2 linked regions of the Drosophila melanogaster genome follow. The protein of the gene in region 1 purifies or fractionates together with the protein of each later gene. This does not show direct contact. Each region holds a gene or a part of one and is shown in the gene's direction. Other genes may lie near its edges. The genes, in order: Aldh and Gale.

Region 1 (6,698 bases):
ATTACGTGTGTTAATTATATTCCCACCTCTGCTCTACACACCGAGTATCATACTACCACACACAAGCCAAACTTAATTTACGTAATCATCCATAAAATTGTGCAAGCGCAAGGAGCGACATCGACTCCCACCAGGCGTAATTAAATTCAATTGAAAGTAATTTCCAACAAATTGTTGTAAATTTCATTTTCGCATTTATAACCCACATATGTATGTACATATACTACATGGTACTGCGTCCAGCAATCAGCCATCAATGATGGCATTTAAGTGCGTGCGCCTGAGCCGAGCTGTCCGAATGCAATTTATTTTTTACGCCAAACTGTTTACTCTCGGTTATTAAATATTTCATGCAGCTGAGGACAGCAACCGCAGCGACAGCAGAATCATCAATAACCGGCACCGCCGCATAACAATTGCCATTAAAGTTTATTCGGGCGGTTTCGGCGTTGGTAATTGGGCCCTTCGGTGGGAAAATCGAGGGGAATGGAGCCGGAATCGACCAAATGTTTACTCAGCCTCCATTTCAGTTGCATGTGCTTTTCGGACGGAAGGGTGAGACGCATTGTATTGAATTAGTTTTCCGACTGTGATTGCTTTCGTTCGCCAGTTTTGGCCAACGATGCGTATGCGTGATTCTCTTGACAGCCGTCGCTAAGCTTTCAATTTACGAGTGAAATAAATTTCGAAAGATTTTGACAAATTGGCCTAAATCGCATTTAATGAATTATGTTGAAATAAATTTCGTCCTCTTTTCGCTCATCATCAATTTTGTGCTAGTAATATGGCTGACAGCCGAAAAGTATGCCATAGCCATTTTTATTATGCGAATGCTCGTGCAAGGGGATGAAAACGTTGAGAAGCAAGCGAAATAATGAAGAGAGACAGCAACATAATAAAAATCAAAGTAATGTTCAATAATAGACGAACGATTTCGGACATTTCACTAATGCATTACTTTAATTCAATAACTTTTGGGCAAATAAATTAGCGCAATTCTTTGTATTGTACCAAAATAAATAATAATACCTTATTTATTATTACTATACAAGTCTTGCTAGTTAACAGTAAACCATCTGGCGCATTCTGTTCCACAAGTTATATAATATAATTGTGAATACAAATTCTAAAGCTCATTGATTGATTGGCCTGATAACTGTTTAGATGTTACAATATCATTTGGTTTTAAATTCATTTCCTCCCATCGTGAAATTATAAAAAATAGCTAGTCATTCTAAACGAAAAACACAAAGTTCTGGAATATTTTTCTTTTAAGCGAAATCGTATGATAATTTATACCGTGGAGGTTTGCCAAATAAGCTACAAAAGCAATCTATAGTTTCATAAATTACTAAAGAGTATCTTAACGAGATAAACAATATTATAATAACCCCACCCGGCATAATGAAATCTCCACATGCAAATGCAATTTTATTCAAGTACTTTTCGTACTTAGTACTTAGTTATTGCGTTTAAGACTCTTTGTTATTGATTTCCTTCTCTTTCTGGTTTCCCTATTGAAGAGATTATCTATCTATCTCGCTCTGACTTTATCAGCACTTATCAGTGTTGGCAATGAGCTTTTAACTACTTTATGCCTATCTACTTTTTCTCTTAAAACCATCCCATACTAATAACTACATAATACCTCAATCATATACTTATTATGATTTTGCTCCACCTAATTAATTATATAAAACAAGGTATACTATGTGGAAATTCTTTTAAGTTATAAAGCCAGCTGTGTGTATCAGTTCAAACCGTTAGGTCACAAAAATTTTATTTATTTTAATTTAAAAAAAAAATTATTAAATTTTCGGTCTAAATTGTGTTATTGTTCTTTATATGGCTCCTAACAGTTAAAAATCTTATAGATAAGGGCGACCATATGTAGCTATTTTTGGCTATGTTCTTCTGACAGCACTTGTGGCGTGGCGCGAGTTCCCCTCTAGACACTTAAATATTCCTAAGTAGTTTTCGCGAGCGGCAAAGCTACGAAATCGTTTCAGTTGTCCGTCGACCGCTGAACAATTAAGACGCAGTTCTAGTTTTGCGCTCTCAGTACTTTTCTCTAGTTTTTCTATCCGGAAAAGTATAAAAAATAATCTATTCAAAATGCTGCGCGTTTTGAAGACCGGTGCCCTGCTGCGTTCCCAGGCCAAGAACTTCGCAGCAGCTGTTGCGAACTACTCCTCCCTCCCGCAGCCACAGACAACGCCCGATATCCTCTACACCGGGGTAAGTCCTAATCCTAACTCAAATCCAAAAAAAAAAAAAAATAAAAAGTGAAAAGCATTATAAATAAATTGCGGCATTTGTAGCAATCGCACTTGCAATCTGAGTAAAGAACTCAACAGGAAAGCAAGCATTTGACTTGTTTTTGAGCTGACCTTGAGGCGAGCAACTACAGCTGTTATCGCCCTAGAGCCCCTCCTCAAATACCCTACATATGCGAATCCAGTTTTTAGGTTCTCCGGTGTAGGTCTTCCCCATTTCGATTTTAACGAAAAGAAATTGGCAAATCAGCGCAACGCAAGCGAGTCTCACCGCATTCAGATCACGTACACCAAATGTTTATCGGCAGATGTAGGGGATTGTAGGGGATTAGGCTGCTTAAGCGAATCGAAAGACCGGCGACTAAAATAAATATACAAAGGCGATATCGAAAAAGCAAAAACAACAATCGCATATGTAGTTCGCCGGCTATTGTTGTTGTTATTTCTGCTTCAGCTTCTCATTGTTTGCCATACCCGGTTTCTTTGTTACGTCAGCAGTGGCGCTCGCACACGCAAAACAAAAATTTGTTTGCCGCAAATTCTCATCATTTATTCTTCTCATCGCCTCGCGCTTTCATTTCTTCTCTAGGGAAATTTGCATAAATTTAACCATTGTCATTTTTTATCTTTAGTGTCACCAATTAAAACTAGCGTTCGTTCGATTTAATTGAAAAGGAATTGCGGTTAGGAAGCGAGCCAAATGTGGTTTTTGTCCAGATGTTAAATGGGATCCAATGAAATTAGAGCAGTTCGTATATAGTAAACATTTTTGCAGAAAAAACTTGAAAATCCAATGTGCACGGTTTTTATTTGTCTATATATATTTCAGAATTTTTAAAGAAACTCCTAGCTTACATCGCTCTTAAACTGTCTTTAAATAATTGTTAGTGTTCTATGTTTTCCAAAAACAAGGAAGTTCTTAAAAATTTGTATATAATAAATATTTTTGCAAATGAACTTGATTTTCAAATATGCATGTCTTGCATACCAATATATTTTTGTTTTTAAGTCTAAAAATGAAATCTTGCATACCTCTTAAATTGGCTTAGAATAGCAAATAACATATATATAGACCATATATGTACATATATGCTGAACCCTAAAGCAAAATATTTCAATTTTACAAGAATTGAGCATTCGTCTATTTTGAGTGAACTGCATATTATGCAACCTTTATAGTACTTATACATATGCCATAATCTGAGAATCTGCTTTCATAACAAGAAATATCAGCCCATAATGTCTCGCGCACCACAAACGTTCTAATCTCTTGATTTATCTTATTGTATTTGTGTTTGTTGGCATAGGCAGTTTCCACTTCTTATCACCGGCAGCCCTATTATTTTGGGGGTCTTTACTGGGCGAGATAACATGGCACACTTATAAGATTGGCTTCCCTAATCGAACCAGTATTAGACTCGTCTAGCCAGACCCCCGAAAACTAATGCACACGTGCGTCGTCGCTATGTTTATATTTTGCTATGTCTGGCGGAAAGTTTTATATTCGCAAGCACATTGTGAAATTCAAAAGTAGATGTATGCAAAAATAAAAACAAAAAGAAATAAAAATGTTCTATAAAATAGGATGACGTGAGGGGTTGGACGCGAGGGCTCACTTCGTTTCAATTTTAATCAGTTAGCCGGTAAACGTTTTAGATTACCCAGACTGGGGGATTGTCAGATTCAGGTAGCCATGCGAACGAAACAATCAGTCAATTGCGATAGAGGAATAACACGCACGGCAGGCAATAATAACAAATAACAGCAGTCAAGGGCTTATCATATAGAGGAGTGGCTTGTTTGTCAATCCAACAAAACGATGTAAAATACAAATGAATTCAATAGAAGAGATTGTGAATATGATATGGCACTAATTGAAGCTGTTAACTACTTATTGCAGGTATTTATCAACAACGAGTGGCACAAGAGCAAGTCGGGCAAAATATTTGAAACCATCAACCCGACCACAGCGGAAGTCATTGCCGAAATTCAGTGTGCTGATAAGGAAGATATCGATATTGCCGTCCAGGCTGCACGCAATGCATTCAAGTGAGTGTGCAATTTGGATATAAATCGACTTTGCTTATTAATAACAACTCTATGATCACTAGGTTGGGATCTCCATGGCGTCGCATGGATGCCTCGGAGCGGGGTCGCCTGCTCTACCGCCTGGCTGATCTCATGGAACGCGATCAGGTCTATCTTGCCGTAAGTATCAAGAAATATTTTAATAATTCAAGGTCTTTAGTTGGAAGTTTAAAATATTAATATAGTTTATATATACTTATATGCTTATCAAAATTTAATTTTCCGACAGAGTCTGGAGACCCTTGACAACGGCAAGCCCTACAGCATGTCCTACAACGTGGATCTCCCGACTGCCATCAAGAACCTGCGCTACTTTGCTGGATGGGCGGACAAGAACCATGGCAAGACTATTCCCATGGACGGAGATTTCTTCACTTACACCCGCCATGAACCCGTGGGCGTGTGCGGCCAGATCATTCCCTGGAACTTCCCCATCCTGATGATGGCCTGGAAACTGGGTCCCGCTTTGGCTACCGGCAACACCATTGTACTAAAGCCCGCTGAGCAGACCAGTTTGACTGCTCTGTACATTGCCCAGTTGGTGAAGGAGGCTGGCTTCCCCGAAGGTGTGGTCAATGTGGTTCCCGGATTTGGAACTGCTGGCGCTGCCTTGGCGAACCACTGCGATGTGGATAAGGTGGCCTTCACCGGTTCCACCGATGTGGGCAAACTTATCCAACTAGCATCGGGAAATACTAACCTAAAGAGAGTGACACTGGAGTTGGGAGGCAAGTCGCCAAACATTATTCTGTCTGACACCGATATGGACTACGCCGTCGAGACGGCTCACTTTGGTCTGTTCTTTAACATGGGCCAGTGCTGCTGTGCAGGATCTCGTACTTTCGTGGAGGACAAGATCTACGATGAGTTTGTCGAGCGCAGCGCGGAGCGGGCTAAGAAGCGCACCGTGGGCAATCCCTTTGATCTGAACACTGAGCAAGGTCCTCAGGTGAACGAGGAGCAGATGGAAAAGATCCTTGGAATGATCAAAACAGGCAAGAAACAGGGCGCTAAGTTGGTTGCCGGTGGCAGTCGCCCAGAGGGCCTACCCGGCTACTTCGTCCAGCCCACGGTGTTCGCCGATGTCCAGGATGATATGACCATTGCAAGGGAGGAGATCTTTGGACCGGTTCAGCAGCTGATCCGCTTCAAGAAGCTGGATGAGGTCATCGAGCGGGCTAACAACTCCGAGTACGGATTGGCCGCCGCCGTTTTCACCAAGGATCTGGACAAGGCCAACTACATTGTGGGTGGCCTGCGTGCCGGAACTGTGTGGGTAAACACCTACAATGTCCTCGCTGCCCAGGCTCCGTTCGGTGGCTACAAGATGTCCGGCCATGGACGCGAGAACGGAGAGTATGCTCTGTCCAACTACACGGAGGTCAAGAGCGTCATCGTCAAGGTTGCCCAGAAGAACTCCTAAGAAGGACCAGATATTTCCTCCAAGAGGGACGCTTAATATGGTTCGCCCTACTTAGGTGCTCTAAATTCCGGCGATAATCTACATCTCTATAATGAACATAGTTTTAAATACATCTGTTTGATATACCTAACTACGGCCAGTTTTTGTATTTTTTCCATTCGGTTAGTTTTCTTTAAGTGTACATTTCTATCTAGTACATATGTAATGCAGCTATAAATCAGTGCAGGGACCTGGTCAAACAATTCAAAAGTTGTTTTATTTACGTTCTATCTTACTCCCCTTTGCCCTACAGAGTTTTATGTGTAATTCCAATGTTTGCCAATAGATTCTTGGCTTTGTTTATAGCACACTCTGAACTGAATGTCATTATTTTGCTTATCCCACAACACTGAGATAGGACAAACAAGCACACAGATACTTCCTCACAGCTTACACTGCACGAAACATTGATTGGTTTAGCATAGAGCCAAAAGCAAATGGATAAAGTGAGCAACCAGCACACGGAGCTCAGGGAACTAGCTTGCTCGTCCATCTAGGAGAAATAAGCTTACATTTATTTGCATTTATTGGCATTTTCCATCGTTTTGTTTTAGCCTCGAATGCCTGAGTGTGTGTGTTTGAATCTGTGTGTGGATTTCTGTGGCACTAAGACTCACATATCAGGACGTACTCAAACTTACACAGACACATCGGGTCGTTTTTCATCCAACATCATGGCATACAAAAAAAAATTGGAAAAAGTTTTCCATTAGATTGGACAGCAGCTGAGCGTGTCAAGTGCTTTGCGGTTAGTGGAGAACTTGTTCTCTTATTTTCCACTTTGTTGTTTTCGAAATTGAATAAGCGCATTTGTATGCAATTTATTTAAAATTTGTATTTCAATTTTTGTGATGACCAAAGGCCAAAGTGCA
Region 2 (5,545 bases), on another chromosome or scaffold:
ACTTCGGATCGCGCATAGAAAAGTGCGTTTTGAATTTAATTTTCCATATCTTCAATTTAGGAATTGAAAACTTTTAGACGGGCCATGCGGGTTCTGCCAGAAAACGTCACGAAATATGTATAAATTGCTTAATTTGTGATAAGCATTTATGGTGGCCCGGGCGATCCCAGTTTCCAAGTCGGTCTCCGTTGGGCCATGTGAAAAGTGCACCACTTTCACTATTTCCCTACTTCATTTTCCCATTGCCGATCCGAGATCAAATTAAAGTGCCAGAGTCGGTGCTTATCTGGGGTGGTCTCTTTTGAGGGAACGCAGAACATACATAGATGATTATCGGGCACAAACAATAATGCGGAAAATTGGTTTTATTAAGATGGATAACCGAAATTTACAATAAGTGTAAGCAAGGAAATTCTATTCGTTTGGCATTCTATTCGTGGAGTGGAAAGTGTTTGAAATAAAAGATCACATACTAATAAACATATAAGTACAGTAAGTAAACAAGAAGACGGACATAGCTAACGGGCCGGGCCAGACCCCCCGAAAACCTTAGCCCCAGCAATAACAGCAATCCAACTCTCGGACCGAACTGATAATTCCCCCATATGTGCAGGCGGGATTGGATTGGGAGCTCGCTTCTATACATATATATATATATATATTTATGTATGTAGACTAGACCGCAGCACATTATGTACAAATACGTAGCTTTAGGATCGACCACTTCCACTTGGAGACTTGTCCGTTCTGTCTTTCTCTTTCCAATTCTGTTTCAGTTCAGTTTCTGTGGCTGCGACTCTGACTGTGCAAATTATTGTCGCTCACATAAAAAAATATTGCAGGCCAGCGCCATTCAGAGGCGAGCAATGCCGGAAGTTCAACTAACTCATTTCCGGTTGTCAGTATGTACATATGTGTGCCGCCCGAGAATCTCAAAATATATGTAGATGTACGTATGTATGTAGTACATGCGGTGTGCGGTAAGCATGGTCTTGCGGTATATGTATGTACTGCGTCTTCCTTATCGAGTGAGCTTTCCCGCATTCGAGAATCGATTCGTTTCCAGATGATTATGTAGATTATTATGCCGAAGCAGTATTTTACGGTTTGTTCTAATTTTGGGACTCTTATGCCGCAATTTTTTTTAGCGATAAATTGAAATGGAATTCGGAAACCATAATCAGAAAAACGATTTATTGACTGAGATAGAACTATTCAAACAAATAACGATTATCGACACTCCAAAAACCATAAGATAAAGCCGGTCAAATGCCAATCTAGGTTAAAGCTCCGAAGCTTTCGACCCATTCATGCATTCCATTCATTCAGAACCGAAAGCAGGCGCATTTCATTGAGAGACTCGTCGCTGCGCAAATACATTCTCAATTAAGTTGTAAACATTGTGAGATCTTTTTCATTGCGTATTGAGCACATGCACTTCCGCTTATCATTAAAGATTTGAACCGAATTTGGGTCACCAAAAAGCTGTCCGAACTGCGGTTCTAGTTATTTATGACGATGTAGTTGTACGCATTGTACTGAAGTTTGTTGTTATCAAACGTTTGCTTTTCGAGTTTAAAATTAATTTTGAATCTGCTCCGTTTATCAGTCAAGTAAAATGTCAACTTATCTACATGTAAATTTTACAGAAGCACATGGCAGTGATGCCAGATCATATAAGATTATTATCTTGGGGATAGAATGCGTTACAAAATTACATTGCATTATGAATTTGGCGTTATTCTCTTATCATATGTTTAATTAATTACGATTTGTGATTTTATACGCTTTATAATGAAAACTATTTTTTTACCACCCCTATTCGCGTCTCCAGAATGTTTTCACATTTAAACACCGATATGGGCGCACTTCTTGTTTTAAGTTGTTCATATCGATAGACAGCCAAGAAATTTATCGAGACGAATCCCACTGTGCCAGGTAGCTGAAAAATCGGCGAATATGGCAGCGTCGAACGAGCCATGTCGCGTGGCAACGCTACCACTTTGTTTACTTTTATTCGGAGAGCGAAGTGAAGAGCACCTGGAAATTGCATTAATGGGCATGGAATCGGGAGCCAAAGGTCAGCGGCGATAAGGATGCACTTCGAGGTGACCCCGGCCGTCCGTCGACCAAGTCAGCCTGCTGCTAGCACTTGAATTAAAGTGACAGGAGAGCTCCGAGCCCACCAAACCACCGAAACTGATAAGAAGTGCGCGTTCGGAGAACGGAGAACAAGTTAAATAGGCTCCGTGGAGAGCCACCAGTTCAGTTGGCCAGCGACCGCAGATCAAAACAGACGTACGACAACACAGATGAATGAGGAAGAGTGCAAGAAACGGGTTAGCACACGATAGCACTCAACGGTCAGCGATCTTTGGCATCTTCATCTACACCATCATCTGCAATCTCGTCGGAGATCAGAGGCGTTGTTTTTAGGCATCGGAATCCGAGGCGGAATCGTTTCAAGGGCACGTCTCTTGCGTCTAGCTAAACTCAATCTGATTCACTGAGCGGGGATTCTCTACCATAATCACCTGTAAACAGGTGAGTTACCCGTTTTTCGCCAAGCAGACGGCTATTTCGCACGCCTGCCGAACGATTTTGGTGACGTCAATAAGAACTGGGCACTCGTGTGGCCTAATTTCGTGTGTTTTCCCCTTTCGCCACTTAGGATGGCCCCACCCACGGTCCTGGTCACCGGAGGAGCCGGCTACATTGGCTCCCACACGGTTCTGGAGATGCTCAATGCGGGCTACAACGTCATCTGCGTGGACAACCTGTGCAACGCCTACAGCAGCGGGGCCAAACTGCCGGAGGCCCTCAGCCGGGTGCAGGAAATCACCGGCAAGAAGGTCAACTTCTATAGAGTGGACATCACGGACAGGGAGCAGGTGCGCTCCGTCTTCCAGGAGGTGAGCACACGTAGCATTACATAGCTGGCACGTCAGCAGTTCGGAGGTTCTGGGGCAAATGTGCCAACTGGATACCATTCAATCAAGCTTATCTGGCATGCGCGCTATCAGCTTTTTTCTCGTTCGCGCTTGTTTTGTTGTTTGCTCAAGTGGCGGGGCACTTCCGACGAACCGCCGTGCTGATCGACCCTGAATGAAAGACCCACTTGGCGAGGTCGCATTCGAGTTGGTGCGCTGGCATCCACATCCACAACAGCTCCCGGGCACGTACACTACAATCTGGGTGGTCGGGAGCCCAGATTGCAGTGTTTACATCCATTGATAACCAAGAGAATTCGCTAATTCGAGCAGGTTATCACGCATTCTTGAGATGTTCGATCAAAGGGGTTTTTTTTGTTAACCACCGTCGTTTATAAAAAACAAAGCGTTTATTTACATGTAATGAACATTATAAAAATGCACGTTGTTGCCCAAATAGCCATGAAATATCTTAAGCTGATACTTTTTCATATTTTTATTCAACCATAAATGCACACAGCTTTGTGCTTACGCGCACTGATTACTGAATAGATTGAGCAGTATTTGTTGTGGTGGAATTTTTTACCTAATCAGCACTATCAACAGCTATTTAAAGAACACATAATTGTTTGTCAATAAATCACCTTGAAATCAATGTGATACTTTCATTTAATTGCTATTAAATTCTGCACTTTACGTTTATAAGAGGCAATATCCTTGTGCTTACTGAAGAGCTGGTTATTACAGATTTGGATTTCCCAAACTAATAGGTACATATATTTACATCCCTTTCAGCACAAAATCGACATGGTGGCCCACTTTGCCGCCCTGAAGGCCGTGGGTGAGTCCTGCCGCATACCTTTGCAGTACTACCACAACAACATGACCGGCACCAATGTCCTGCTGGAGGCGATGGCCGACAACAATGTCTTCAAGTTCGTGTACAGCTCCAGCGCCACCGTATACGGTGAGCCAAAGTTCCTGCCCGTGACCGAGGAGCATCCCACGGGCAACTGTACATCGCCCTACGGCAAGACTAAATATTTCACCGAGGAGATTCTCAAGGATCTGTGCAAGTCTGACAAGGTAGGAGGATGTCATTTCTTGATGTCCATAAGTTCTGTACTAAAGAATTCGCTCTTTCAGCGTTGGGCAGTGGTTTCGCTGCGGTACTTCAACCCGGTGGGTGCCCACATCAGTGGTCGGATTGGCGAGGATCCGAACGGCGAGCCCAACAACCTGATGCCCTACATCGCACAGGTGGCCGTGGGTCGACGTCCCAGCCTGAGTGTCTACGGCAGCGACTTTCCCACGCACGACGGCACCGGCGTGCGCGATTACATCCACATCGTGGACCTGGCCGAGGGACACGTAAAGGCGTTGGACAAGCTGCGCAACATCGCGGAGACGGGCTTTTTCGCCTACAATTTGGGCACCGGCGTGGGCTACTCGGTGCTGGACATGGTGAAGGCGTTTGAGAAGGCCTCCGGCAAGAAGGTCAACTACACTCTGGTGGACCGACGGTCCGGAGATGTGGCCACTTGCTATGCGGACGCCACGTTGGCGGATAAGAAGCTGGGCTGGAAGGCCGAGCGTGGCATCGACAAGATGTGCGAGGACACGTGGCGCTGGCAGAGCCAGAACCCAAACGGGTATGCCAACAAGTAGAGCTGTATATCGCCACGTTCCTGCCGCTCCGCAAGTTCCTGAGTTACTACGCCTGATAATGGCTCAGGTAGCAATTTCTATTTGCCTCTAGTTGTGTATATTTCTTTCCAAATTTCGTGTAGTATTCGCTCACTTCGATGTGTGCAAGTGTGCGTATGTAATCCAAAGTACTTTGTAATTAAAAAGGCTTTTCGCTGTTGTCATGTAATTTTGTGACCGTCATTTACGCGTTTGGTGACCGCTGGCATCATTGACGCGTGCCAATTGGCGCAATCACGTAATTAAGGTCACCGACAAGGTGGCACTGGGAGATTACACTTGGCATTAGGTAAAATAAACACACAACTGCATCAACCATTTGTCAGATCTTAATCAAAAATGGCATAATCACATTAAGCTGACCAAAGTTACAAGAAGACGTCTAACTCGCACATTTATTTAGCAAACATTTATTCAAATGCAATATAACATTAAAAACTCAATTTTAAACTTAAGTGATGCGCCTTCTTCGCACATATCTGCACAGTTAAAGTCATTTATCACAAGTATGTACTATGAATGTATGTTTCTTTCAACAACTCTGCGTTCGGCTGCTGCTTCTGTTTGGTTTTGGAATGGTCTGCACGTATAAAAGTACAAAATTGTTTATATTCGAGCCTGTTGTTTCTGGGAGTGTTTGTTTGTATCGGTATTTGGCAATCTGTTTTACACTTAGGAGCTTGGCGATTCGTTCAACAAGTGATGGAGAGGCAAAGAAATCGAATTCAACAAGAAGCATTACTAGGTGCTACATTTACGTCTGGCTACATGTGTGTGCGATATGCATACGTAATGAATTAATATGTATAATATGGTAGTTCTAAGTATTCGCATAGGTTGCAGGAGGCAAAGAGATCCGTAGCCCAGAGGGGCGGTGGAGGGGATAGTTTAAATGCCGCTTAAATACT

The links.
Region 2: the proteins of Aldh (region 1) and Gale purify together in Drosophila melanogaster (affinity purification with mass spectrometry, with the first as the bait; one large-scale study listed by BioGRID). This does not show direct contact.

Annotation. Positions count from the first base shown.
Region 1 is NT_033779.5:9,385,653-9,392,350, forward strand, and holds Aldh (aldehyde dehydrogenase), read left to right. Parts: upstream 1-1,736; 5' UTR 1,737-2,115; coding exon 2,116-2,238; intron 2,239-4,176; coding exon 4,177-4,325; intron 4,326-4,387; coding exon 4,388-4,484; intron 4,485-4,593; coding exon 4,594-5,787; 3' UTR 5,788-5,915; downstream 5,916-6,698.
Region 2 is NT_037436.4:646,508-652,052, forward strand, and holds Gale (UDP-galactose 4'-epimerase), read left to right. Parts: upstream 1-2,047; 5' UTR 2,048-2,544; intron 2,545-2,671; 5' UTR 2,672-2,672; coding exon 2,673-2,912; intron 2,913-3,725; coding exon 3,726-4,016; intron 4,017-4,076; coding exon 4,077-4,598; 3' UTR 4,599-4,804; downstream 4,805-5,545. UniProt on the Drosophila melanogaster protein: Catalyzes two distinct but analogous reactions: the reversible epimerization of UDP-glucose to UDP-galactose and the reversible epimerization of UDP-N-acetylglucosamine to UDP-N-acetylgalactosamine.